Linked DNA regions of Nothobranchius furzeri. The protein of the gene in region 2 interacts with the protein of the main gene of each other region in a biochemical or structural test. Links are inferred from orthologs where the notes say so. Each region holds a gene or a part of one and is shown on either strand. Other genes may lie near its edges. The genes, in order: cebpa, parp1, casp7, hmga1a, macroh2a1, chfr and casp3a.

The links.
Region 1: the proteins of parp1 (region 2) and cebpa form a complex in vitro, tested with the Homo sapiens proteins (2 studies listed by BioGRID, with this or other methods). The link is inferred for Nothobranchius furzeri from reciprocal best matches to the Homo sapiens genes PARP1 and CEBPA.
Region 3: of the proteins of parp1 (region 2) and casp7, one has a biochemical effect on the other in vitro, tested with the Homo sapiens proteins (3 studies listed by BioGRID). The link is inferred for Nothobranchius furzeri from reciprocal best matches to the Homo sapiens genes PARP1 and CASP7.
Region 4: the proteins of parp1 (region 2) and hmga1a form a complex in vitro, tested with the Homo sapiens proteins (2 studies listed by BioGRID, with this or other methods). The link is inferred for Nothobranchius furzeri from reciprocal best matches to the Homo sapiens genes PARP1 and HMGA1.
Region 5: the proteins of parp1 (region 2) and macroh2a1 form a complex in vitro, tested with the Homo sapiens proteins (2 studies listed by BioGRID). The link is inferred for Nothobranchius furzeri from reciprocal best matches to the Homo sapiens genes PARP1 and MACROH2A1.
Region 6: of the proteins of parp1 (region 2) and chfr, one has a biochemical effect on the other in vitro, tested with the Homo sapiens proteins (2 studies listed by BioGRID). The link is inferred for Nothobranchius furzeri from reciprocal best matches to the Homo sapiens genes PARP1 and CHFR.
Region 7: of the proteins of parp1 (region 2) and casp3a, one has a biochemical effect on the other in vitro, tested with the Homo sapiens proteins (9 studies listed by BioGRID and IntAct). The link is inferred for Nothobranchius furzeri from reciprocal best matches to the Homo sapiens genes PARP1 and CASP3.

The regions. Positions count from the first base shown.
Region 1 is NC_091749.1:66,139,277-66,143,207, reverse strand, and holds cebpa (CCAAT/enhancer-binding protein alpha), read right to left. Parts: upstream 2,801-3,931; 5' UTR 2,402-2,800; coding exon 1,529-2,401; 3' UTR 439-1,528; downstream 1-438. UniProt on the Homo sapiens protein: Transcription factor that coordinates proliferation arrest and the differentiation of myeloid progenitors, adipocytes, hepatocytes, and cells of the lung and the placenta.
Region 2 is NC_091742.1:4,983,945-4,987,444, forward strand, and holds part of parp1 (poly [ADP-ribose] polymerase 1), read left to right. Parts: coding exon of another isoform or gene 1-880; intron 881-1,392; coding exon 1,393-1,483; intron 1,484-1,562; coding exon 1,563-1,679; intron 1,680-1,840; coding exon 1,841-2,017; intron 2,018-3,308; coding exon 3,309-3,471; intron 3,472-3,500. Other genes in the region: adorb1a (adenosine A2c receptor), read right to left, coding at 1-880. UniProt on the Homo sapiens protein: Poly-ADP-ribosyltransferase that mediates poly-ADP-ribosylation of proteins and plays a key role in DNA repair.
Region 3 is NC_091756.1:38,344,439-38,347,938, reverse strand, and holds part of casp7 (caspase-7), read left to right. Parts: intron 1-625; coding exon 626-801; intron 802-3,500. UniProt on the Homo sapiens protein: Thiol protease involved in different programmed cell death processes, such as apoptosis, pyroptosis or granzyme-mediated programmed cell death, by proteolytically cleaving target proteins.
Region 4 is NC_091755.1:54,122,793-54,126,727, forward strand, and holds the start of hmga1a (high mobility group AT-hook 1a), read left to right. Parts: upstream 1-1,135; 5' UTR 1,136-1,344; intron 1,345-1,426; exon of another isoform or gene 1,427-1,581; intron 1,582-2,222; 5' UTR 2,223-2,237; coding exon 2,238-2,336; intron 2,337-3,074; coding exon 3,075-3,155; intron 3,156-3,935. UniProt on the Homo sapiens protein: HMG-I/Y bind preferentially to the minor groove of A+T rich regions in double-stranded DNA. It is suggested that these proteins could function in nucleosome phasing and in the 3'-end processing of mRNA transcripts.
Region 5 is NC_091750.1:54,263,315-54,267,581, forward strand, and holds the start of macroh2a1 (core histone macro-H2A.1), read left to right. Parts: upstream 1-1,467; 5' UTR 1,468-1,616; intron 1,617-3,146; 5' UTR 3,147-3,175; coding exon 3,176-3,347; intron 3,348-3,444; coding exon 3,445-3,551; intron 3,552-3,642; coding exon 3,643-3,834; intron 3,835-3,970; coding exon 3,971-4,078; intron 4,079-4,267. UniProt on the Homo sapiens protein: Variant histone H2A which replaces conventional H2A in a subset of nucleosomes where it represses transcription. Nucleosomes wrap and compact DNA into chromatin, limiting DNA accessibility to the cellular machineries which require DNA as a template.
Region 6 is NC_091757.1:31,985,046-31,989,143, reverse strand, and holds the start of chfr (E3 ubiquitin-protein ligase CHFR), read left to right. Parts: upstream 1-1,298; 5' UTR 1,299-1,423; coding exon 1,424-1,426; intron 1,427-1,612; exon of another isoform or gene 1,613-1,718; coding exon of another isoform or gene 1,719-1,721; intron 1,722-2,110; coding exon 2,111-2,231; intron 2,232-2,861; coding exon 2,862-2,961; intron 2,962-3,036; coding exon 3,037-3,146; intron 3,147-3,235; coding exon 3,236-3,307; intron 3,308-3,402; coding exon 3,403-3,600; intron 3,601-4,098. UniProt on the Homo sapiens protein: E3 ubiquitin-protein ligase that functions in the antephase checkpoint by actively delaying passage into mitosis in response to microtubule poisons.
Region 7 is NC_091744.1:19,590,126-19,593,625, forward strand, and holds part of casp3a (caspase-3a), read left to right. Parts: intron 1-2,369; coding exon 2,370-2,498; intron 2,499-2,618; coding exon 2,619-2,794; intron 2,795-2,874; coding exon 2,875-2,983; intron 2,984-3,065; coding exon 3,066-3,292; 3' UTR 3,293-3,500. UniProt on the Homo sapiens protein: Thiol protease that acts as a major effector caspase involved in the execution phase of apoptosis. Following cleavage and activation by initiator caspases (CASP8, CASP9 and/or CASP10), mediates execution of apoptosis by catalyzing cleavage of many proteins.

The DNA.
Region 1 (3,931 bases), on a different chromosome or scaffold from region 2:
GCTCCTTTGTTCGTCTTGTTGTTGAAACTTTTCTGTGTGCCGCTGCTGGAAGCTGAATTTTCCAGAGGAACCTTCCTGAGGGATTATTGAAGTTCCTTCGGAACATCTGAGGGAGTTCCGATTTTACGACATGATGGCAGGTCGCCTGCAGCAGAGTCATGACACAAACAGAACCTTAAAGCACAAACTGAGGGAATAATAATCATTTAAATACACAGGAAACAGAAGCTGGAACCAGTAGATCAGCTGTCTGACGCCTCATTAAGCAGCTGGTTTTAGAGTAAAAATGAATATCTTTGACTTAGTGTGTGTGTGTGTGTGTGTGTGTGTGTGTGTGTGTGTGTGTGTGTGTGTGTGTGTGTGTGTGTGTGTGTGTGTGTGTGTGTGTGTGTGTGTGCACATAGAGCCGAACACTCTCAGAAGAACACCAGAACCAAATTTGATAAAACAAGTTTCTTTATTACTTCAGATTTTGGTTTTTCATTTATATTTTATGTTTATATTACAGAAATAAACAACAAAGTGCTTCTTTCTTCCTCCCTGGAACAAGTCAGAGAACCATCTGAGGGATCGGACAAAGGTCAAAGGTCATCTGAGCGATCAAAAGGCACTGAGTGAAGATGACTGCAACAAGCAGGAAGATGAAGAGTGATGCTGAAACCTGGTTCACATTTAGCTGTTCTGATCACAATAAAACATGTTTAGAGGGGCGTAGTTCTGTTGGGTTCTGTCCAGAACCTGTATCAGTACACCCCCTCCCCATGATCAGTACCATCACTGCCTCCCCATGTCCCACAATGTATCTGGCTTTAGTGCATGAGAGCTTCAGTCTGAACAGGGTCAGGGTTGGGCTTGCAGGGCTTTGGCGGTTCTGTTTGTAACGGTTTCAGTACCGAACAACCCTCAGCCTGGCTTTGCTAGGGTCATTCAGAACTAGTTTTATTAAACATGGGTTCTGGCTCTGACCCAAACTCCCCAGACAGTTTATCTCTGGCAAGTGTGAAGGTGAGTTTGATACCACGTGGTGTCAACAGCCAATCACCTGCAAAACACAGTTCAGCCAAGCAAACAGCTCAGAAACAGGTTTCGGTCCGGTTTGGTTCCGTACATGAGATCGTTTGTGATTAAATAAAATTCTGTAATGAAGGCGTCGTGCACGCAGGCTGGTCCCGCACTAACCTCATCGTAGCTGCACTGAAATGTTCTGAGTGGTTCTGGACTCAGTCTGTTTAAGGCACTGAACATCTGATTCAGCTTATCGGCTTTTGCACAAACGTTAAAGGCACGAGAACACGACAAACAAATAAACAAACAAACAAGTTAAAAGTCTCCAACGGGTTCAGTTTGTTGATGGAAGAGTTCCGTTCTGCTGCTCTGAAGATTAAAATCATCCGGAACCGAACCGGGTCTGTTAAGTTTTCTGCTCCTTGACCCAAAAGTTCTGCATATGTGCAGCTGTTTTGAGAACTCAGCTGCTTCTGTCTCTAAACAAATCCAGCACTCTCCGGTCCAGTCCGATTCAGATCTCTCAGCTGCCCATGGGTTTGAACGACCCGTCCGGCAGCTGTCTGAAAATGCCCCGTAACGTGTCCAGCTCCCGGGTCAGGTGCTCCACCCTCCGCCTGAGCCGCTCGTTGTCGGTCGTCAGCTCCACCACCTTCTGCTGGGTCTCCAGGTTCCGCATCTTGGCCTTGTCCCGAGACTTACGCACAGCCACGTTGTTGCGCTCGCGCCTCAGCCGGTACTCCGGACTGCTCTTATCCACGTGTTTCTTAGATTTCCCGCCTCCCCGCTGCTCGAGCAGCTTCATGCCGCCCTGCTGCAGGTGCTGGTGCGTGTGGTGATGGTGCGGGCTCGGCACTGGAGTCGGTGGAGGCGTCGGGTGGCCCGGCTGGAGGTGCATGGTGGTCTGCGCGCAGTGCGCAATCTGGTACTGCAGGTGCGGCATCTGCGGCTGCTGCTGCTGCTGGTACTGCTGAGGATGCGCGTGCGGGTGGTGGTAGGAAGGGGGCATGCCCGGGTTCAGGTCCTCGTCATCCCGGGGCTCCTGCTTTATGGCCACCGGTCGGAGGCGCGGCGGGTTGTGCTCGTAGAACGGCTCCAGCTTGGACTCCATGTAGTTAGGCATGTAGAGCTGCTGTGGACCCGGACCGCAGTCATACTCTCCATTCATCATCTTGACTTTGTCCTGTCGCGAGTTGTGGTGGAACAGGTCCGCCAGGAAGTCGTCGTTGAAGGCAGACGGATCGATGTAGGCGCTCAGGTCTATGGAGGTCTCGTTGTCTCCGATCTCCCCCCCGAGGTCAGACGGGTCTCTATAGCCGGAGGGGGGCTGCTGGCCGTGGGGCAGACTGCTCAGCAGGGGCCGGGGCGCGACCTCGTACAGGTTCGAGAGCTCCATGGAGAACCTAAAGCCGGGCGGGCATGGCGAGGAGCTCCGGAAATCCAGTTTGGAAAGTCACACACTCAGGTGAGTCGGACCGCTGCGGACAGGAGCCGACCGGAACCAGAGTCTTTAGGACTGACTGACACTTTGTGTTGGAACGAAGAGAAGCTGCCGGTCCGATTCCTGGTCCTCAGTAACCTCCGAGCTGTCAAACAGCGGTTTTATAGTTGGAATGGGTGGGCGGGGACAACACCACACTCCTTCAGTCTGTCTGACTCGAACCCCTCCGGGACCCGGGTGGGACAACAGAACCCTGCAGGTTCTCGGAACCGATCATGATCCCAAGTGTTGTTTAAGGAGTTTGGGTCTCGCTCCTAGACTAAAGGTTCTGATCACCTGATGCGGATCGTCTCCCGAACTGCACCACCCCATCGGAACCAAAACGCTTGACTGATGTTTCGTTTACTTAAAAAAAGGTAAATTAACCAGAATTAAATTAGAATAAAACTTTTGTTTGTTTCACAAAAGAGTCCTGTGTGTGCGCACGCATGTTTTTATGCGCGTAAGTAAATGCCTGCCATACCTCTGTGTATGTGCGCGCGTTCACACACACACAAACACACACACACACGCGCGCGCGCGCGCGCGCGTGTGTGTGTGCGTGTAAAATGCGGGATGCAGCGCCCTCTGTCGGACGCAGACAGACACCGTCTGGTCTGATGTTGGTTCTGGTTCGTTTCAGACCGTATAGAACCGAGCAGAGATCCAGAACATCTCGCACCATCTTGGAGACCTTTGAAGGACCTTTTCTCCTTCAAAAACAACCGCTGGATCCTGTGTTCATGACAGAGATGCTGTTAGCTCTGTTCTGCTAGCATAGCTGGTGGTCTCCATGGTAACGCTGTTGGCTACATTAGCATAACTCCTGTTAGCATAAATAAGGGTCGGTTAAAATGCCATTTCCTCGTCATAAAGATAGTGTGTTTGTTTTAATGAGTATCATTTTAGTACAACATGTAAAATTAGAAATTAGCCCAAATAGTTGTAATAAGTCTATTATTTCGTTGTAAATAAAGAGTGATATTTTAACCACATAGTCCCCATCTGATTGTCTCCCTGAGAGGACATGTGTCTCTGTCTCACTGACATCCGAGACACATATAAAGACTTGTCTTACTATAAACACATCACAATCATAGAACCACAGAACCCATCAGAACTATCTCTGAACATTTGTGATATGGGTTCCTGGGATCAATCTTTAGGCTCTGCAGAATCTGAACTGGTCCTATAGCTTTATCTGAACCTGAACGTGAACATCTGACGCACTCCTCAGGAGATGTATTGAGATGTGAGGAATCCCCCACTGAGACAGAATCTCTGGGTCTGGTTAATCCAGGAACATGGTCCAATAAAAAACCATATGAAATCTTTTAAGTACCTAAAACCTGAGAAGATCCAATCTGATCATGGTTGTTTGTTTTTGTACAGGCATAAAGAGCTGGTGAAACCAGAACTGGTCCAGTTCCAGCATCATTCAGCTTC
Region 2 (3,500 bases):
GCAGCAGCTCCAGCGGCACGGAGCAGCGAGGGCAGAGCAGCAGGAAGCAGTTGATGACATGAAGCGGGATCCAGCAGACCGTGAAGAGAAACAGAATGAGGAAGAGAGACGTCACCATCTTTATCTCCCGGCGCATGCTAGCTGCGGCTCTGGTTTGACGCGCCGCCCCTCGGCCGCCCTGCTCTGGCCCGATGCGTCGCATCTGCTGCTTGACCGCAATGAAGATCCGAGCATAGATTAGGAACATGGCGAGCAGCGGCGTGAGCACGCATGCAAAGAAGTTGAAATACACCATGTAGGTCATGTCCACCACCAGGACGAAGACACAGTTGCCGGAATCGGGCGGCGTTTTGTGCCAGCCCATCAGGGGCACGAGGCCGATGAGGAAGGCCAGCAGCCACGTGGCGAAGATCACCAGGACGGCGTTGCGAGGCGTCATCAGGACGCAGTAACGGAAGGGCATGAAGATGGCGACGTAGCGCTCCACGGCCACGGCCAGCAGGCTGAAGATGGAGCTCTGTGTGAACATGATCAAAACGCTCAGCATGAGCAGGCACAGGTAGAAGTTGTGACGCGGCAGACCGGCGTCGGTCAGGATGGCGCAGGGGATGGCGACGGCACCCACGCAGATGTCCGCCACCGCGAGCGACACCAGGTAGTAGTTGGTAACGGTGCGTAGGCGGCGGTTTAGAGCCACAGCGGCGCAGACGAGTAAATTACCGACGGTGGATAAAAGAGCGATGATGAGCTCAGCCGCCACGTACGGCCGGTTGGGGGACATGTCTGCAGGTGGAGGTGATGGAGAGGAGGAGGGGGAGGTAAAGTTCATTGAGGAGGAGGAATATTGATGGGAGCTCCCCGACACGGCGGCGCCCTCCATGGTTTTCCTAAAGGAGAATAAGAATCAAGTAAAGCTGAATTAATGGAACATGATGTAAAGCAGCGGTTTCATCCCTCACCTTTAAACGTTAAGAGCGTGAGATCATATCCGTGTTGTCCCAACAGCAGCTGTCCACATGCAGACCACACATCAGGAGGTGGCTGATTTATTCATGTCCCCTCAGATCGGGGAGTTTGTCTTCACACCGACTGTTTCTGGACCATCATTAACTTTGAGTTAATGGTCTCGGGAGGAGGGAGAGAGTCCCATCAGTGGCGTCTGGGACCGTCCAAGCGTGTGCCGGCCTGTGTTTGTGTTTGTCCGACCACTGATGGGACCCGGGGGACGTGGTTTAATGAATAAAGGTGTCAGATTCAGGCTTGTTTGTTCCTCATCATGGCCGCTGTCCCTTTGCGACTCATTTAGGAAGTGAATGTTTTGCTTTTGTTTTTCTTGTTCGTCCTTGTCGAGCCACAAAACAACAAAGTTAACTGAAGTTTGTATTCCCTCAGGAAACGCAAAGGTGATGATGTTGATGGAGCATCAAAAAAACTAAAGAAAGAGGAAGAGGAGGAGAAGAATAAACTGGAGGAGCAACTGAAAGTACTTTGTTTTGAATTGATTTGACATTTTGGAGTGAAGTTTCTCCATAAGCTTAATGTTCCTCTTCATTCATCTGCAGAACCAAAGCCAGCTGATTTGGGGGATCAAAGACAAGCTGAAGAAACATTGTTCGATCAACGACATGAAGGAGCTGCTGATCGCAAACGCTCAGGACGTCCCCTCTGGAGAGTCCAACGTAAGAGAAGCTCCACTGGTGTTAATCTGGGTTTTTTTGGGGTGATTCTTTGTCTCAGAGGTCATATAGCTCTATAATATTGAGCTCAGTTTCACCCGGGAGATTCGTTGTTGCTCGAGTCATCTGGAGTCTTACGTGTTGTGTTTTTGTTGTCCTCTCAGGTGGTCGACTGCCTGGCTGACGGCATGGCCTTTGGTGCTCTGGAGGTCTGCAAGGAGTGTTGCAGTCAGCTGGTGTTTAAAGAAGACGCTTACTACTGCACAGGGGACATTTCAGCCTGGACCAAGTGTGTGTTTAAAACCAGAAGACCGGCACGCAGAGACTGGGTCACTCCCAAGGTGGGTCGCTTCGTCTCTTAACTCATTCGCTGCCAGCGTTTCTCGCCATTCTTACAGTTTTTTTTTTAAGAGTCACAGAACGTTGAGCGCTAAGATGACGTCAACACCAAAACAACCAAAACAAAGCGGAGACTCGCCTCTTACATCAGGAAGAATCTGCGTGTTTCGAGCGTTATCCGTTCTTTCATAATCTGTTGTTGAATTGTGATCGGCAGAAGCTTTTCCGGTTCGCACCTCACCTTTTTTTACAGCAGCGGCCCAAAACGATCTAACACATGCAGTGCGTTTACATGCAGCCAGTAACCCTTTTAAAACCCGAATATTCACAAAAACCCGGTTCCGCAGGTCCATGTAAACACCGCCAAAAACCCGGATATGCTCATAACCGGGTTGTTAAAAACACCTGGGGTAACCCTTTTCTAACCCGAATGTTTGGTCGTGTAAACGCATACCGGGATATCCCCATCAAAGCGTGTGTTCTGCGCATGCTCTGTTCGCAAGGAATCTTGGTCTTTTGAGTAGCGAGACGTCTTGTATGCGCCAGAACACCGGAAGTAAACAACAAGTTGGGAGCAACATGGCGAGTCGCGGCACAGCACCACACTTTTGGAGTGACGAGGAAACTAAAGCGCAAACAAACGCGGTCGCTATCTCTTCCGAACTGGGAAACATGTTGTTGTTTTCACGGATACCGGAACAAGAAGAACCGGAAATGAGGCATATTGCGTCTGGACGTAGTCCATACGTCCTGACGCTACCCCAACGTCCGCATTTAAATCGGGTTATGCAAGTTAGGGGTAACTCTTTCTATTTATGCTTGTAAACGGGTTATTCTGATCAACTCAGAAACCCGAATACCGACCTTAACCCGATCATAACCCGGATACTGGCTGCATGTAAATGTAGTCAGTGGGTGTTCTGCTTCCTGATCACGTGACGCATGCGGATGAAGATCGGCTTTAGAGCTGAGATGTTTGTTCTCACGGTGCGGGGGCTCGTTCCGATGCCCACACAGTAAAAACATGCAAATGACAACTTCAGTCGTCAATGGCAGTGAATGAGTTACGTTTTTTTTTTTTTTCCAGTTAATAATGTCTTAAACTACTAGTAGGTGTAAGCCGGAAGTGTTGGAGACAAGAAATGGTAAAAATAAAAAAGCTGCAGGTTGCCATCTGGAACGATGCTAAATTGGCACAAATGGTGCTGATGGGTCAGGAAATGGTACAAAGGTCTTTATCTGCTTTTTCATTCTTCTCTTTTTTCATTGAAATCTCATTCAATCCTGTTTCAGGAATTCCATGAAGTCCCTTTCCTAAAGAAATTCAAGTTCAAGCGACAGGACAGGGCCTACCCCAGAGAGGCGCCGGCCCAAACCCTGACAGCTGCTAAAACCGAGCCTCTGCCAAGTGCGTCCGGCGGACCGACGAAGCAAGGACCAGAATCGGCTCCTTCAGGTCAGAGAAACCCGACCCGAGTTTTGCTG
Region 3 (3,500 bases), on a different chromosome or scaffold from region 2:
AGGAAGACAAAAATAAACAAGAAAAGGTAAAATGGGATCATGAGAAAGACAGAATTGGTAGAAACAGCAGAATGAAAAGAAGGTAGTGATGAAGAATCAACAGAAGGTCATGCAAAAGCCAGCCTGAACAGATGAGCTTGCAGATGAGGAGACCGTGGCGGGTGTATTACGGTAGTTTGCCAGCATGGCGTGTCTTCTAAGAAGGGCTTATCACAGTTCAACCAGACCTGGTGTAGCTTAGAGAAAATATTCTTTTTAAACATTCACCAACCAAATATGAGTTCACCAACCAAATATGATCGTTTTGTTTTAACAGTCTTAAAAGTCCAATCATATAACAGTCATATATGATGATCCTTTAACTTTGTTTTTTTTATTGGAAAAGCTCCCTAAATATTTCACTAGAGCACAACAAATTAAAACTTTGAAATAAATATTGGCAGAAAAAATGTACTCTATTGACGTTTCTTAATATGTTATGCTTTTGATGAGCATATTATTGACTTGAATAACAAAACGAGATTATGTTTGATGATTGAGTAGAATGAGTTTAGTGATTGGGTCCTTTTAGAGAGGTTGGATGTGTCTGAGATAAGCTGAGAGTTAAGTTGTATGTGTCTTTCAGCTTCAGAGGAAGACCACAGCGACAGTTCGTGTTTTGCCTGCATACTGCTGAGCCATGGTGAGGAGGGCATGATCTATGGCACAGATGGCGCCATGCCCATCAAGGCCATGACCTCGCTGTTCAGAGGAGACATGTGCAAAAGCTTAGTTGGGAAGCCCAAACTCTTCTTCATCCAGGTATCAACCTTAAAAGTCTTGATTTAAAATAATTATGTGGCCAAAAAGTTAAAGGTTCAATATGTAAGAATTCTCCAGTGAAATAATCACTAAACAGTCTAATGTCTCATGTTGGAAGGAAGGCTACATAGAAACAGATTAACTTCTCAGCTGGCTGGGGGGTTGTTAGTTTTTCTCCTTTCAATTAAAATAAAGAGGGACGTAGTTACGGATGAAAATCAGCGAATTTGTGAGCTTGGTGAGTCTACACCGAGCTATTGCTGCAGCACCAGTTTTTGTAATTCTATTGTGTCACGCAAAAGGCTCCAGAGTTGTTTAAAGAACCGAAGCCAGTGAACAGGAGCGTAGCCCTGAGAAGCCACAGCATCTTTTTTAACTCTTAATATCAAGTGAAGAAGGCTAGAGGCTAACGTTGAGCTAACAATACTAACAGTGATTTAGAAGCAAATAGTCACCTCTAAAAGTATCTCATGCTACTTTTTCAATTACCAACAAATCAATATTACAGTGAAATGTGTGAATGAATGAATGTTTATTTATATAGCGTTTTACACAACCCAGAGGGTGACCAAAGGGCTTAACATTAAATATGGAAAGAAATTAAAAATAAGACAATAAAACAATTAAAAACCACTGTAAAAAGGTAAATAATCAGAGCCTGTTTAAAACAATGCAGGACAAATTTAAAAGTAATAAAAAATAAAAACAAGGAGGAGTACTCAAGCTCCTCGTTGAACCGTCACCTTATCGTGGTGGAGGAGTTTGAGTGCGCTAATGATCCTAGGAGCTATGTTGTCTGGGGCACTTTGTGCCCCTGGTAGGGTCTCCCATGACAAATTGGTCTCAGGTGAAGGGTGAGACAAAGAACGGTTCAGAGGCTCTTTCATGGATGAACTATCAAGGAGTTGGAGTACCCGGCCTGGAGTGTTACCGGGGTCCCACCCTGGAGCCAGGCCTGGGGTTGAGGCCCGTGAGCGAGCACCTGGTGGCCGGGCTTTCGCCCATGGGGCCCGGCCGGGCCCAGCCCGAACTGGAAACATGGGCTCATCCAACTGTGGACCCACCACCTGCAGGAGGAACATGAAGGGTCCGGTGCAATGTGGATCGGGTGGCAGACCGAGGCGGGAGCCTTGGCGGTCCGATCCCCGGATAAGGAAACTGGTTTTTGGGACATGGAACGTCACCTCGCTGGCGGGGAAGGAGCAGGAGCTTGTGGCAGAGGTTGAGCTGTACCGGCTAGATATAGTCGGACTCACCTCGACACATAGCATTGGCTCTGGAACCCAAGTCCTTGAGAGGGGTTGGACACTCTACTTCGCTGGAGTTACTCCGGGTGAGAGGCGGAGGGCTGGGGTTGGCTTTTTGTTAGCCCTAAGACTCTCTGCCTGTGTGTTGGGGTTCATCCTGGGGATGAGAGGGTAGCTTCCCTGCGCCTTCGGGTCGGGGAACGGGTCCTGACTGTTGTTTGTGCTTGTGGGCTAAATATCAGTTCAGAGTACCCACCCATTTTGGAGTCCCTGGGACAAGTGCCAGATAGTGCTCCATCAGGGGACTCCATTGTCCTGCTGGGGGACTTCAATGCTCACGTGGGCAATGACAGCATGACCTGGAGGGGTGTGATTGGGAGGAACGGCCTGCCTGATCTGAACTCGAGTGGTGTTTCATTATTGGACTTCTGTGCAAGCCGCAGTTTGGTCATAACGAACACCATGTTCGAACATAAGGATGCCCATCGGTACACTTGGTACCTGGGCAGCCTAGGTCGCAGGTCGATGATAGACTTTGTAGTTGTATCATCTGACCTGCGGCCGTATGTTTTGGACACCCGAGTGAAGAGAGGAGCGGAGCTGTCAACTGATCACCACCTGGTGGTGAGTTGGATCAGATGGCAGGGGAAGATGCCGCGTAGACCTGGCAGACCCAAACGCATAGTGAGGGTCTGCTGGGAACGCCTGGCAGAAGAAGCTGTCAAGACGGTCTTCAACTCCCACCTCCGGCAGAGCTTTGACCACGTCCCGAGAGCAGTGGGGGACATTGACACAGAGTGGGCCTTGTTCCACTCTGCGATTGTTGAGGCGGCTGTAGCTAGCTGTGGTCGCAAGGTGGCCGGTGACAGTCGTGGTGGCAACCCCCATACCCGCTGGTGGACACCAGAGGTTCGGGGAGCCGTCAGGCTGAAGAAGGAGGCCTACAGGACATGGCTGGTCTGTGGGTCTCCGGAGGCAGCAGACAGGTATTGGATAGCCAAGCGGGGTGCAGCAGTGGCAGTTGCAGAGGCTAAATCTCTGGCGTGGGAGGAGTTTGGTGAGGCCATGGAGAAAGACTGTCGATCGGCTCCAAAGAGGTTCGGGCAAACTGTCTGGCGCCTCAGGAGAGGGAGGCAGCAACTCGCTCACACTGTTTACAGTGGGGATGGGGAGCTGCTGACGTCAACTGGGGCTATAGTCGGACGGTGGAAGAAATACTTTGAGGAGCTCCTCAATCCCACCTACGCGCATTCTGAGGAGGAACCAGAGCCTGGAGACCTGGGTATGGACTGTCCAATCTCAGGGGCAGAAGTTGAAGTTGCTGAGGTAGTCAAACAACTACACAGCGGTGGAGCACCGGGGGCGGATGAGATTCGTCCTGGGTATCTCAAGGCTATGGATGTTGTAGGGCTGTTGTGGTTGACACATCTCTGCAACATTGCGTGGTCATCG
Region 4 (3,935 bases), on a different chromosome or scaffold from region 2:
TTGAGAAAATCAGCGATGCTTCATAGGGAGTTTACGATTTAATTTCATTCAAACTAAACTTCGGCTAGTAGATTAAAATTAGCTCCACATTTACTGTTTCTCTTAGGGTTTCATACAAAATGAATACACAAATATGTTTTAAAGATTAGCATAATTAAAAAAAAGAAAGGAAAATCAACATAAAGAAAAAAAACTCCTCAATATAATTAAGATTCAAATATAATTCTGAAATAGCTGCTCAAAAATGTCATTTGAATTTTAAATGAAACATAATTGTTTTTTCTTTAATGCACAACAAATAAAAGAAAATTAGATTAAAATTAGCTCCACATGCATTGTTTCCGTTTGGGTTTTGTACAAAATAATATTATTAATATATTTAAATAATATGTATAAATTAAATTACTTTTTAGTCTCGTTATTTAAACATGAGCAAAGGGATTGTTTACATTGGGGGACGTCATCATAGTTCAAGCGCCATGACAGTGGAGGCTATGACACAATGTAGGTTAATTTTATTTTATGAAAAAAGTGGATTGTAAGCAATTTAGTCATTTCGTAAAACCCCTTAGATGCTAAAACAATGACGATTTACCAACTACTTTCACCCATGTCAAGAAAGTGATTCATAAAAATGGAGATTTGTAAGACGTTAGCTCTTATCATTCTATAATCCTTTATTAGACAAATTAACTCACTTTGCTTTCCCCCCAATACTTAGTTATTTGTTTGAATGTATAATTTTGGAGATTATTATACAACTATGATAAATTTATTATATGTATAATATAAAACTTTTGGATATTAATTTGGGACTCTTTCAGAATGAATGTAAACAATGGGAGAAATGTCTTGTTTACATTATAATAACGATATTTTAGAAGCCATTCACAAGCTGTCCGGTAAACATACAGTAAGCAATAATTTTATATAACAACTTAAAGAAATACGTACTGTGACCTTCGACGAGTTGAAAGTAACTAGATAAGTGACGAGATTAAACGTAAACTTCCACAGGTAGCGCGTCTCGACTTGTAAACACCCTGTGACGCAATAATCGGCCTGCGCAGGCGCTGCGCATTTCCCCAAAGTATAATATTTCGACGGGGGGCACGGATAGTCGGAACACCGGCGGTGCTGAGTGGAGGTTGGGCTGTTCTGGTTCTGTTGGTGGCCCTCGTTATCATATCCCCGCCCTCCAGTGTTCCCGCTCTCCTGAGGGCGGTTCTTTAAATTGTCCAAAAACTCCTCCTGTCCGACTCCGGCGCCTTTCATTCCTTTATCTGCGCGAGACGCACGTGCTCTACCGAGGGAAACCTTTGGATTAAACTTCTCACCGTGCTGGTAAAAATAAATATGTTTCATGTACAAAAATGCAGAAAGTTCAGCTTTTCGCTTATTTAAATGGGTTTGTGTGTGTTTTTAAGGCGCGTGAGCTGGGCTTTTTAAATGGGCGGGCTGTCTGACGAATAAAAGCTGTAGCCTATAGATCAGCTTTTTAACCGGGTACGCACCAGCCGGGCTTCAAACGGAAACAAGTCTACCTGAGTTTAGCACGGAGGCGATAGCACCGTGACAAAGGTGAGTGGGGATGCGACCACCGGTTTTACAAACAGCCCGGAGCTCCGGCGGGAAACGGCGGCACGTTGTCAGCCGTCTTTTGTTGCTTCGGTCCGGGCTCGCTCCGCTACACGGAGACCTCGGTTGCTGCTCTCCCCTCCGCCACTTAATTTTTAAAAAGCCATTCAGCTCAAAGCTTGTTGCCTGCAACCAGAAACGAGCCGCGGCCATTGTGGTGTGTGAGTGTCGGTGGATCTCTCCGCGGCCCAGGCGTGCAGACACGCTGCTCTGAGATGGTTCCGTGCGCAGGCCTGGTCTTTGGGCTCCTGCGGGGCCTATAAGCGCGGTCGGTACCGGAGGGAATTGGCTGGTTTTGTGGTCTTTTGCAGGTTAAGCCTGCTGTGATCGGTTTTCTGCGTAAACCTCTTGTGTCGCAGAGCGCAGACGAGACGGAAATAGACCTGGAAACCAGCGCGGATTAATTGGGTTAAACCGTGCGTGGTGCGGTCGGTCATCTTTGGTTTGTTGTTGCGGTCAGTGGGTTTAGTGGCTCACGGGTACACGCTGTGCTCAGTTTTCTGTGTGAACTCGACGCCTCTTGCAGCATCAAGGCCGGCCGGTAGGGTTTATTTAAATCATCATTATCATCATCATCCATTCAGGTTGGAAGAGCAAATATGAGCGACAAGGGGACAGTCTCACCGAAAGAGAAGGAGGCGGCAGAGAAGAGAGGGCGTGGAAGACCCCGCAAATCGCTCGAGGTGAAAACCTCTGACGTAAGTAGTGTCTATTTATTCTGGTATACTAGCTGATTTTCTACCACCCCGTCGTTTTATTATTATTATTATTATTTTTTATTTTTATTTTTGCATGCCATGGGAATAAACTTGATCTTAAATGCATGCAGAACCAGGCCGGTGTGGTGCTGAGCCTCAGGTCCTCTTGTGATCGCTGAGGCTCAGTTAGACGCACATGCAGGTTTGTGCATATCAGAGTCTTGAGACCAGAATAAAATAGCCCAGACTGCAGGAGCATGGCCTTGTGGCCATTTGCCCCCTGCTTTTCCACTGCTGAGGTGTACAGCAAATTCCCAGCATGTCTCACCAGTTTGTAAGCAACCAGTAACCTAACACCTTTAAACTGGTTTTAACCTCCCCCTCATCCTCTTCTGCATTACATAGGAGAGTTGTGGCCCAGAGTGGATCACATAGATGTCACTTGGCCTGCTGTGTATTACTATTGAGTTGCTGGGTTGCTAAGAGCTGTGATGATCAACACATCAGACGAGCAACAGAAGACGAGTGGGCCATGACGCCGGTTTAAACCACGAGTTGTGCATGAATTTGCTGAACTTTCAGATGTTATGGCAGTCCCCTCTGATGTTTACGGTTCAGCCAGATTGCTCAGTCAGTTTTTGTTTTGATTTCAATTGTTTTGATGTGCACTAAAATTGAGCCTTTTTGGGCATCTATTAAAACATTCTTGATATTAACTATAACCTGTTTGATATCCAGGAGCCAAGTGGGTCACCAACTCCAAAGAGGCCCAGAGGGCGACCAAAGGGCAGCAAAAACAAGACTGCTGGCAAGGGCAAGGTAAGTCATTGCTCGTCTTGTTTGAAACTTATATTCCCGTAGTTTGCAACAGCTAACCTCATCCTCTGCTGTTGATATATGTTTATTGGCTGCAGTTCAAGGTGCCACAAATAGCCCGGCCATGACTCCCTATTGGGGGCGGCAAAGTGATTATCAATACCAATAAATCTTGGTTAACTGCTTTATTTGGGGGTGGAAGGGGGGGCCTGATATTTACCCTGTACTTCCTGTCCTCCAGCTTCCTGCAGCTTGTCATGCACTGTGTGGTGCAGGTGCAGAGGCCGCAAGACTGTTTCCAGGCTGACACTAAGCACCCCTCCGCCCCCAACCAGCACACAGCCCTACTTCTTCTCTCTGCCTGTCGTCTCCATAGCAACAACTGCTTTTTCTCCCTCTCCCCAACCCTTTAGCTCCCCTGTGTGTGCGCGCCATTTGCTGTTACGTATGGGAGATGGAGTGAATAAGGGAGTTTAGGAAGCACCGGTATAGGTTTAGAAGTGCGGGCCAAGCTGTAGGGTTTGTCTCCACTCGATTTCACCAGCTGTCTCTGAGCCTCGGACCAGGTGGCCAGCGAACTGGAGTGCCCCGTGTGCAGTTCCTGTCGGCCGTCCAGATAATAGCCAATGAACCCAGTGCCCCCTTTCGATCGGTCTTGTTGCAGAAGTACGGCTGCCATCTACAGGCTAATCTGCAAATGGACGACAGATCCCCAGCACGTCGCTGAGAATGAAAATCATCTCTAAACAGCAAGACCCTCTTAAAGCTATATTGACCTTTTTA
Region 5 (4,267 bases), on a different chromosome or scaffold from region 2:
TTCCATTTATGCCATTAATTATCAGAAGACACTCCCTGAAGGATCAGAACTTAACTTCAAGCCTGTGTGCTGCTGCACCATGTGATCCATTATCAATGTAAATTATTTAACAATACATCCTATACTCATGCAAGTTTGAAAACTGTTGCAAGGATCTGATTCAAAGAGCATGTTGCCCTCGATGGTTGCCTCTCATGTCAGATTTTGCATTTTCAGAATAAACTTAAAATCTATTGGTGTGCTGCACAAGTGATATGAAATGTGAGCCTCTATATGATGACAGAAATGAAGTTAGCTATTGTTATGTTTCATCAGACCTTCACTCCCTGTTGTCAGAGTTTAAACATTCAGACTGATAAGGCATAAGGCAGTGCTGTGAATTATTTGTCAACTGGTTGGAATTTCATTCACACATCTCAAATGCAAGAAAAGAATAAAATTTTGCATTAAATATTTTTCAATTACTGCTTTGATTTAACGGAAATATAATAAACGTTTTATTTGCATGATTGTATTTTAAATCAATGGAAGTATGGAAAGAAAACACAAAATGTACATCATCCTAAAAAGTGTGTGTATGGTCTAGCCTGGCAAGCCAGGCTGAATAAATGTATTATTTACAAACTTTGCAAAGCAAGAACTTGGTCCATAGTTCACTAGGCTATGTATGGTCTGGAGTGAGGTAAAAATATCAATACTATCATCAGGAAAGTACATTTTAATTTTAAATTATTATACACAAGCCTCTTGCTGATTTATATGATCAACTAATACGATCAATTTATTTCAATACACAGATTTTCTTGATTTTGCGAATATTTCTATGTACAGTCTATGATATTTCTACAAAGAAAAAGCTTAGGTGTGACCTCTAGTGGCAAGATGCTGTCATTACTCAATCGTCTGTAGAAATTTGAAGAATAAAGGATTTCACAGTTGTTTAGTTTATTTTATGGTGTGTAAAAATGTAGTGTTGTCAGCTGAGTTAGTGGAGTCCACAGAATATGAAGAAAATCATAAAAGTGAAGATATCGTATCGTTTATTTTTAAAAGTCAGTCATTGATGACACAGTTCTTCCCCAAATGAAAAATAATTAATCCAATCAGTCATTTGGATTTCAAAAGGCTTTGAACTCCCCTTGAACGTTGCTGACTAGTCAGTAAAGGAAAAACACTTGACCATCATGTAATGTTCCGACACACTAGCATTAAAGGAACATGTTTGAGCTAGTTTTGTGGCAGCACTGTAAGGCTAATCTAACATTGATTAAATAAAAACTAGTGTGATTAAATAAAAACAAGTGTGTTAATTAGGGTTCATTCAGGAGCATGTCACGAGGGCAAAGGTTACTTAAATGTATCTTAAGTTTGTTTAGAAGCTGAAATAAAAAAAATAAAAGCTATTTCCGCGTAAAGAGGACGTGTTTCCTGTTTAATCAGGTGTTTAGAAACACATGCGTAAAAGGTTAAAGATCATCACAGCGGTCGGTCGAGCTCCGCGGGCAGCCTGGCTCGCGCCGTTCTACCAGCTCGCTGTGGATTGTGGGAATCGGGGACACTACCCAGGCTTGTTACCGGGTGAACGGGAGAATTATTCCCTCTGCCGCCGCTTGTTTGTAAGTACCCCCGCTCCGTGTCTACCAAGTGTCGCCTCTCGTCGGTGGAGCATGTACTCGTGCACCGAATGGAGCTGTTAACGTTACCGTTTTGTCCCTTACTGCCATGGGAGGCCCGAGAGCGGAGACCGTGTTTCTGGAACTGACAGGCGGTGAAGAAGAGGGGAGGGGAGGGGAGGAGGAGCGGGCAGCTGCCGCCGATCCACCGGGGTAATTTCCATCCGAAAGCTCGCTGACCTGTACGGGAAAACACCCCCCGTGTCGCCGGACAGCTGCAATTCGGTCGTTTTACACTTTGGTTGAAACGAAAGATGCGCGCGAGACGTTCGGCTGCTGTTGACATGCGGAAATGGATGTCAGCGGGCAGCAGCGGACAGGGAAATGCCCTCCGCGCTGATGAACCTACCTACACCTGGCTGGATGGAGAAATGCCGCAGATGTTTCAAGTCAAATGGATTGCGTTAGCGGTCTTTGGGTTTAGAACACGGTAGCTGCCGCGGGTTAACGTCACGTGTAATGGTAATGAGGTGGTGTTTGTGTTGGAGCAGAATAAAAAAGAGAACGGGAAAAGCGTGGCCTGTGGTGTCGGATAACCGATTGCCAGTGACTAACCGATCTGGCGCTGCAATATTGATCTCCTCCACCGTTTTGTTTATATTTCATGACTTTGAGTTTGTTTTCATGCAGATATCCAAACGTTTTTAATTATGCACGTTTAAAAACGACCGTTCCAGGGATGAAAATGCCATCTAGCATAAGTTCCCACAGGGCATCAGAGCATGACAATGACATAGATTTCATTTATTTATTTTTTTGCACGAGGTGACATCAACCAAACCCTTCAGTGGATTAGTGACCATTACCTAACATCACTGGAATAATATTTATCTATTGTGGATGTAAGAAAACATCAAAACACTGCAGTGTTTTGTGTTAATGATACGTAATTGAAGCAGTGTATCAAATGACATTTTAGTGAATTTACTGGCAAATATTTTCTGTATTTCTTTTGTTTGGTGCAATTTATACTCCGATTGCTAGGGGGCAGCATCTTTTTCCACCTCTTATTATGACGAAGTAATGAGATTTTACAAGTGTTTAAACAAATTCAGTCCTAAAAATCTCAAATACTGCCTAGCTTTTAGTATTGCCATATATCATATTGTTCCCTTGTATTGTGATATGTATCATATCACCAGATTCTTGCCAACACACACCCCCTTTGTCTCAGTCATGTTAATCAAGGCAGCTTCTCATTTTTTTCGAAACAGGCAGCATTTAGTGGCCACATACAGTCTTTATTGATAAGTAGTCATACATTATTCTTCTGATTTAAAACCAGGAAAAGGATAAATGAACAAAATAATTCAGTTTTACTCTTAAAAGAGAATCTTTGATCATTTAGAGTTGCGTTCTAAGGCAATGTTCACTTAAGTCTAATGAATATTTTATTAATTTTCTTTACATGCACCATGTTACCATAAAGTACAAGTAATCATTGTTCACATGTTTCATTGGTTTCCTCTGCAGAGCCCGCCACTGGTTACAGTTTTAGCATCATGTCCAGCCGAGGAGGCAAGAAGAAGTCGACTAAGACGTCACGGTCCACTAAGGCCGGCGTCATCTTTCCTGTTGGACGCATGCTGCGTTACATCAAGAGAGGGTTGCCCAAATATCGCATAGGAGTGGGAGCACCTGTCTACCTGGCCGCTGTCCTGGAGTACCTCACTGGTGAACTTTATTTTCAATTTAATATGTTTATATATATCAAATTTTTGTTTTGACCTGGCAATAGGTGTTCATTTTGTTTATGTCATTCTATCTTTAGCTGAGATCCTGGAGTTGGCAGGTAATGCAGCGAGAGACAATAAAAAGGGTCGCGTGACGCCGCGACACATCCTGCTGGCCATCGCCAATGATGAGGAGCTGAACCAGGTGACCAATTTCAAATGCACTAAAAGAGAGACATAAGATTTATTCACTGGTGCCGTAAGATATCATATGTCACATTTTGTTTTCCTGTCAGTTGCTCAAAGGTGTGACCATTGCTGCTGGTGGAGTACTTCCGAACATCCATCCAGAGCTACTGGCCAAGAAGAGAGGAGCAAGGGGCAAACTGGACATTCCCGTGTCACCTGCTCCAGAGAAGAAACCCAAGACGGTCAAGAAGACGGCAGCTAAGAAGCTGAGTGGGAAAAGGGCAGGAGGGAAGACTAAGGTGTGTCTCTCAGCAAAAAGCCTGATATGTTTGAGGTTTCTTTATAGATAGTTTTTTTTTACCTTTTTAGTCTTTTTGCATATCAGTGATGCCACAGAGAGAATAACAAAGTCACAAATGTTTACGTCTTTAACAGAAACCGGGCGAGGTGAGCAAGGCGGCGTCAGCAGACAGCACCACAGAGGGATCTCCGGCTGACAGCTTCACCGTGCTCTCCACAAAAAGCCTCTTCCTGGGTCAAAAGGTCAGTTTTACTGTCATCTCACATATCTATAAACTCTGCACAGATCTATAAACCCCACTTAGATCTGTAAACACAGAAAAAAATCTATAAACCCATCACAGACTTATAAACATATCTAGATCTATGAACCCTGCGCAAATCTATAAACCTTACATAGATCTTTAAACATGTGCAAATCTATGAAGACCA
Region 6 (4,098 bases), on a different chromosome or scaffold from region 2:
TTTTTACATTTCTTACCGTTGCTGTAGAGTCAGAAGTTCAGCTCTGACAGGAAAACCTGTGAACTGAAATGTTGTGTCTCAGCCATAGTTACAGACTCCTGCAGGGATCTTTGTAGTTATTGGATGAATGCTTTGGTCTGGAGTGCTGAATAAACTATTTAAACTACTGACATCTAATAGAGTGTTTTTGTTGTTCTTTGTACTGAAGCTTGCAATAAAGAGAAACCCAAGAATGACATGCGGTCAAAAGTATAAAAAAGGTGACCACGAGGAAAAAATACAGATTATTTGTGATAAAGTGTTGTTTCATGTCCTGTTGGTGGATTCATGCTAAGGAGTTTTCACTGGTTAAAGATTGAGTCAATTATGTAGGAGGATAATGTGAGCCTTATTTTGAGGTCAAAGGTCATAAAAGTGAAGTCCAAAATGCTTTGTTACTGTTCATTCATCAACCATGAACTACTACCTGAACCAACATGTCATTAATTGGGGTAGAGACATTCCTAGACGAGGGTATTGTGATTTATTTTATTTGTAATACTAAAAAATAGGGCCACATAAATAATCCAATGTAAAAGTGTTTGTTTACATCAACAGCCTACAGGATAAGCAAAACCATTATCCGTGCTTAGGAGGGGCCAAAATAAAATCAGTCTGAGGACCGCAGATGGCCCACGGACCACACATTGGACATATCCGACCTGGAAGGTAAGATTCAAGTAGGCTTCATGAGGTGTTATTATGGACAAAAAGAAGAAAAAATGTATAAAAGAATGCAGAGGGGAAAAAATCTATAGTGCTCCTGAATCTGTCTATTTATTCTGTTTTTATTATTTTAATAAGTATGTATGTAGTAACTAAATTGTATTTATGTAGCACTTATTACATCACAAAGTGCTTCACATAGATCAAAACAAAATAAAACATAATGATCTCAGAACAAACAGATTAACGTCAGAAAAAATAAAGTCATAAAATTGTATTTTATATAATAATATATTTTATAATAATAATAATAATAATAATAATAATAATAATAATAATAAATTATTATTATCATTATTATTGTTGTTGTTGTTGTTGCTGCTGCTGCTGTTATTATACCCATATTCTGGTATAAAAGAGAAGGGGTATAATTACTTTTGACATTTAAAGTAAATAATCATTTTATTAACTTTACCATTTCTGTCATGATGTGGCCTTTAAAACTTAGTGTCTTAAATGAATATCAGAGTTTTTTGTTTTTGCTTTTGTTTTGACACAAACCGTTGGTGAACATTTCCGAGCAGGCAGCTCTCGGGGCCCCTCCTCTGATGGGGCCAGCTCAGAGCTTTGCAGGAAGTGCTTCGCTCTATGCTAGCTAGAACATGAGAAGGAGACGCTGTTTAATCCGAAACACCTGGGAGAACACACCGCGGGTTTGATGGTAAAGTAACAGACGGGTTTACAAATGAAACCGTACATATAGTTAGTCTGAGTGAGGGTCTTTCGCTGGGTTTCTCTCGTCGATGCTAATGCTAGCAGTGTCGTTAGCCCAGTGTTGTTAGGAACAAAGTTCAGTGTTGGGCTGTTGTGTTGCATCATGGAAAGTTTTGAAGCTTTGATATTTGTCAAGAGAACAGACTACACGTCTTCCCAGCTTGTCCCGGAGATCAAATCAAGTTTTAGTTAAAAACATTTATCAAAAATCTCAGAGCTGAGTTTAGTCGGCGCTTGTTATGGTTGTAACTCTTTATTTACTTTGCCATTGTGTATATGGTTGTTGGGCTTGTATTTATTTACAGTACTAGTTTTTCTTTTTGACTGTCAAAATTATGAGCTTCTGTCAACTTATCCCGTAGGAACAGAGTTACATCAGCCTGTAATTTAAAACTAGATGCAAACTGGCTTCTGAGAGTGGGTTAACGCCTAAATAGACAATAGCTGTAGTACAAATATTTATATGCTGTGTATAATTTAGGCTCAATGGCTATATACAGATTTATATCCTTGTTGCCTCTCTAATATCACTTTCTCTTTACTTCCACAGCCCATATCAGTTTTAGGAAATAACCAGATTTTTATGTCTCCTGACTTGTTTTCTGATTTAAAATTTTTAATTTTATTTCAGGAAAAACATCGAGCCATGGACACTCACAGAGGAGGACGACCCTGGGGGAAACTAGTCAAAGTTGATTCCAATGAAACTGTTCTGCTTTTCAATAAGGAATGCACAGTTGGCAGAAAAAAAGGTTAGTCTTTTACCCTGTGATCCACCATGCTTTCTTTGCCATAAATCTAATGTTGACAAAAATGTCTTTTTACCCTGGTGTCCAAACTCCAGAAGTGGAAAATCTTTATAAATGAAAGGCAGTCCTGTGGTGTAGACGTTTCTGCCAGTCAGTGTCTGGAGCCTTTACAACCTCCCCCTTAAAAACACAAACCCTTTTTTAGTGCAGCAAACTTAGACAGACCCTTGTGACGGGAACAAAAGGCGTCTATTGACAACATGTGTGAAGAATATTAAGTAGAGCTTTTTTGTACGGGTTTGCTTTAGAAGAGGTTAGGGCCATATATCCCCCTGTGTCTGCTTTGTTGTCGAGAGCTTTGGGGAATCAACGTTTTTTTATAATGCAAAGCCACCAGACTTGGCATTACTTAATCAGTTAGCTTATGTCTGGCTAATGAATGATTTAAAGCTGTCATGGCAACTCGGGCTTAGAGATGAGGTTGAAGATTTTACATTACACCATTGTGTCGGACAATTTAGCTCTTTCTTTGTTTTAAAGGAGAGGAAAGCTAAACATGATGCTATATTTGAAAGCAGAAAACATTTGTTTATGGTAGATTTGTTTGCATTTGTCGTTTCTCTTCTGTTTTAGGGTGTCATCTGTCATTTCCAGCCAACAAACTGGTCTCAGGGGAGCACTGCAAAATAGTAAAGAATGAAAGCTCAGGGCTGGTGTGGCTTGAAGACATGAGGTACAGTAAAGCTGTGCACCTTTTTAAATGTGCACACTGGTGTTTTACTGAAACACTGATCTGTTTTGTCTGTAGCACTAATGGAACTGTGATCAACATGTCCAAACTGGTTAAAAAGCAAAGTCACATGCTGCAAAACGGTGATGTCATCTACTTTGTGTACAGGAAGAGTGAGCCAGAACAAAGTGAGTCACCCAGTTTGTGAGCAGCAAGAATCATATCTTTGTTTAAATGAGTTTCAATAGAAAAGACACACTTTCCTGTTCCACTGCAGACATTGCCTATGTTTACCATTCTATCAAAATGGATCAAGACGTTATGAGCTTACCACAACTTTCCAGTTATGGTAAGTTGGAAGTCACCTGTGCAACCAGAAGTATTGCATCTTTTTGTTTTTGTGCCACTTAAGTAACTTTTCCGTCTCGTATGTTTGAATGTGAGGTCTGGAGGGTTCAGCTCGGTGTTTGTCACCTGTCCCAACGTCAGAGATGTCCCTCTCTGTGGAGCCTGTGATGCTCTCTAAGGCTCCTCGGGATACAGCTCAGGAAGAAGCTCAGCCTTCTACTTCTGCTTCTCTCTTCTGTATTAACAGCCCCCCCTCTTCATCTCCCATGGCAACAGCAGCCTTTTCATCTTCTGGTAAGGGAGACTGCAGTTTGTTTTTTCTGCACCGCATCCTGTTAAAAACGGAAAAATTCCTGTTTACACTTCTTTGGACTCACCTATCGTGACTCACAACAGAAGGTTGTTGTTGGTTTAGCATCCAGGAAACGGTAGACAACATCTTGACTAGTAGAAGCTAACCGTTAGCATTAGCAACTCCACAACACAGCAGAACTCCTTCAAACTCGAGTCATTTGTGGAAATAAAAACTCAACGTTGCAGAGCAATCAGAGGCATGGTGACCAAATATCAGGAAATAAGAGCTCAAACTGCAGTCTGAAGCTCAGCTCTGATCTGGCTCACTTCTAGTTCCTGAAACGGGTGCATCTGAGCTCCCGCCCCACACAGAGTACAACTTACAAGGCATTCATTCCTACTAGAGACCACTGCAAATGTATTAAAGTCATGAGTGAAGGACCTGTTTAATATTTTGATAAATTATGATGCTGTTAATAAATTCTTCAGGTGACTCCT
Region 7 (3,500 bases), on a different chromosome or scaffold from region 2:
CTTGTTCTAATTTGATTTTAACATTTCAAACACAAAATGATTATTTTTGCCCCAACATTTCTTTTTATTTGCCTGTTTTTTATTTCTGGCTGTCCTTACCGGGTCATAACTAGTCTCAGATTTGACTTTCCTTTGTGGATCAGTCATGCCATAAGTTGCTTTAATGCGTTTAAATCTACATTATTTTACAGTGAAGCAGATAAACCTTAAAGCTCTTCAACATCTTAAATATCACTTGTGTCATCACAAGTCGTTTTAAGGAAGCAGAGCCCCTTTTTTTGTCTGTCTCTACCTTCTCCTTTGTGTTTTGCTGGACTTGGGCCAAAAACGTCCAGGTGATCAGGTTCTGATGGTGACACCCTGTGCTCGGCGTTACAGCAGGTCAGTCATGTGTACTTAAAAGACATCAGAGCTAGCTGAAAGACTCAGGGTGGACGTGTCGTTGTGGAAACTGTAATAATTAATTAAATGCTCCATCTACATGTAGGCAGTAATAATGAGATAAAGCATCCATCTTTTATATTAGAGGTGTGTATTGGTAGCTGCCGCACGAACACACACACACACACACACAGCGAACTTGTGTGTGTGTGACCACGTGAAGGGGGTGTGGTTTGGGGTGTTTACTGTGGTTTATCAGGAAGTTGTAGCATCCATGTGACTAGCTTGATGAGACCTACGCCTTAAAGCCAGTGGTTGTTTGTTCCTTATGCTGACAGATTTACATAGCCTAGAAATCTAGACAAACCGTAGCAGCAGCAGAACATTCTGCTCTGCGGGACAGTCTAACCACACTCCCATGCAGCCTAGCAGGTCTACCACTGGCTCAAACCATTTTAGATCAGGCCAGTCACAGCGTTCTATGTTTGTAGAGAGATATTGGGCAGGCTTCGCACCAGAGCTGTGACGGTGAAAAACTACAAAGATGGCATCAGCTCAGGAACGGCGCTCATTTCAAACAGCTTTGGCATCAACTTTGAATGATTTAGACTTGGGCTTTTCTTTAAGACATGAGCATAGAGCGGTGCTTAAGTCGTTTGTTTAGAAAGAGGACGTGTTTACTTCTGGTTTGGCGGTGTATGGCGGGCTGCCCCATTGACTGAGATCCACAGCGATGAGTATGTCATGTTGTGTGTTGCTCTGATTGGTCCTAGCGCTGTCCATTTGTGTGCGCTGACAGTTTGAAAGGCATCCATAGGTTTTGCCCCACAACTAAGCTTTGTCTATGGGTTGTTGCCCGACTATTTACATATAAGCTGGTTTCCTATAGGCTAAGATTTACAGTGAATGTGTTCAAACTCATGATTGCACTGTGTGTTTTAAATGATCTTGTAGTTTTCCTTTAGATAATCAAGAATGTACAAAAATTAGATGGTTTCATGACGCTTTCATAGATTTATTTAGGTGTTCATAATAATTTTGTGATGTTGACACATCATCTTTTGATGCTTTCCCAAACTTTTCAGATCCAGACCCACAAAATATCCGTTATCAACACGCAGACACATGGGCCCAGATGTTTCCGATTTGACAAAACAAGCATCTTAAAAGCTAGCTAAAGAATGTTCACTCATATCCATTTATGATGGTTTAACTGAGTTTTTATAACAGTTATTCTTTCAGTGATTATCAGTTTTGTTTTGATTTCTGGGAATCATCTCAAGACCCTTTTGAGTGGTTCTTGGTGACCTACAGTGGGGTCCCGATCCCAGCTTTGGGACATACTGCCTAATTAGGCTTTGTGTCGACTTTAGATTGAGATATTTCTTTTCTCGTTGTACTAAATAAGCTGATCTGTCAGATCCTTGTGTATTTGTCTAAGAGGAGCTCAAATATCCATGCGTGCAAATGCATCTTCTGCTTCCACGAAGTTACATGTGATCCTCGTGTTGTCCTGTCTGGGTTTGGAAAACCAGTCCAGCAGGACTGAGAGTGTACACCATTCAAAGAGCAATGTTTAATTGGAAGTACTGAGGAAAGGTACATGTTAGCAGTGGCTAGTGCTGTTTTTGTGCTGCTTGTTTTAAACTAGACTGCAGTTTAGGATGAATAAGAGTCAAACTTTTTGTTTTCATGTTTATGTGGTTTATCAGGTCACAAATTTAGCTAGTGACACCTGCTAGAATTTAGATTTATTTATTGTACTTTTTAGCCTACCCTTGTACTTTGGGGTCATGTGATGTGTGAGACGACTTTATCATTTTAAAAACCTCCCCAAAACAACGGTAACTCGTCATTTCTTAACTCATGACACCTGCATTAATCCCTCTGTGTGTGTGTGTGTGTGTGTGTGTGTGTGTGTGTGTGTGTGTGTGTGTGTGTGTGTGTGTGTGTGTGTGTGTGTGTGTGTGTGTGTGTGTGTGTGTTAGGCATGAATCAGCGGAATGGCACTGACGTGGATGCAGCCAACGCATCCAAAGTGTTTTCTAAGCTGGGATATAAAGTGAAGGTCTACAACGATCAGACAGTCGGTCAGATAGTTCAGGTTCTGACTGCAGGTAACCACGATGCACCAGTCCCATCATTCCAACACATATTTGCATCTTCCAAAAGTGAGACACCATCTTTGAAGTGTGAAGTTCATGCATAGTTCCAAAATTTTTCTTTGTCTTTTTTAGTGTCTAAGGAAGATCACAGCAAATCAGCCTCCTTTGTCTGCGTCCTCCTGAGTCATGGAGATGAAGGCGTGTTTTTCGGCACGGATGACTCCGTAGAGCTAAAGCACTTAACGTCTATTTTTCGAGGCGATTGTTGTAAAACTCTGGTGGGAAAACCAAAACTTTTCTTTATTCAGGTACGATATATTTTTTTCATCTGTCCACACCATCTTTATTTGCTAAGTATCTAACCCCTAAAAACATTTGAACGGTGTAGGCATGCAGAGGCACCGATCTGGATGAAGGTATTGAGTCAGACAGTCCAGGAGGAACCACTAAGATCCCTGTGGAAGCAGACTTCCTGTATGCCTACTCCACAGCTCCAGGTTAAACCCTTACCACGGATTTTTTTGTATAATAATTATTTTACCGTCTTGGTTTAATCCCTAATGTGTCGTTCATGTGCAGGTTACTACTCCTGGAGGAACACGACGACCGGCTCCTGGTTTATCCAGTCACTGTGTGAAATGATCAGCATGTATGGGAAACAGCTGGAGCTGCAGCACATCATGACGCGTGTCAACCACAAGGTGGCGGTGGAGTTCGAGTCTGTCTCCTATTCACCAGGCTTTCATGCAAAGAAGCAAATCCCTTGCGTTGTGTCAATGCTGACCAAAGAGATGTATTTCTTCTAAGCTGTGATGGGGGAAAAAAAAAAATCAAATTTCTTGGGATCAAAAAGTGATGCAACATCTTAGTTTCATCTGCCTGGCTTGGCATTATTAGTTTCTCACTCTGTGGACTAGTTCTAAAGGAATTCACCTTTTTGCATCACAGCAGCCTGTTTTGTTATTTGTACACAACCTTAAAAAGGTTGTTTTTTAAAGCAGTTTCAGTGCTAAA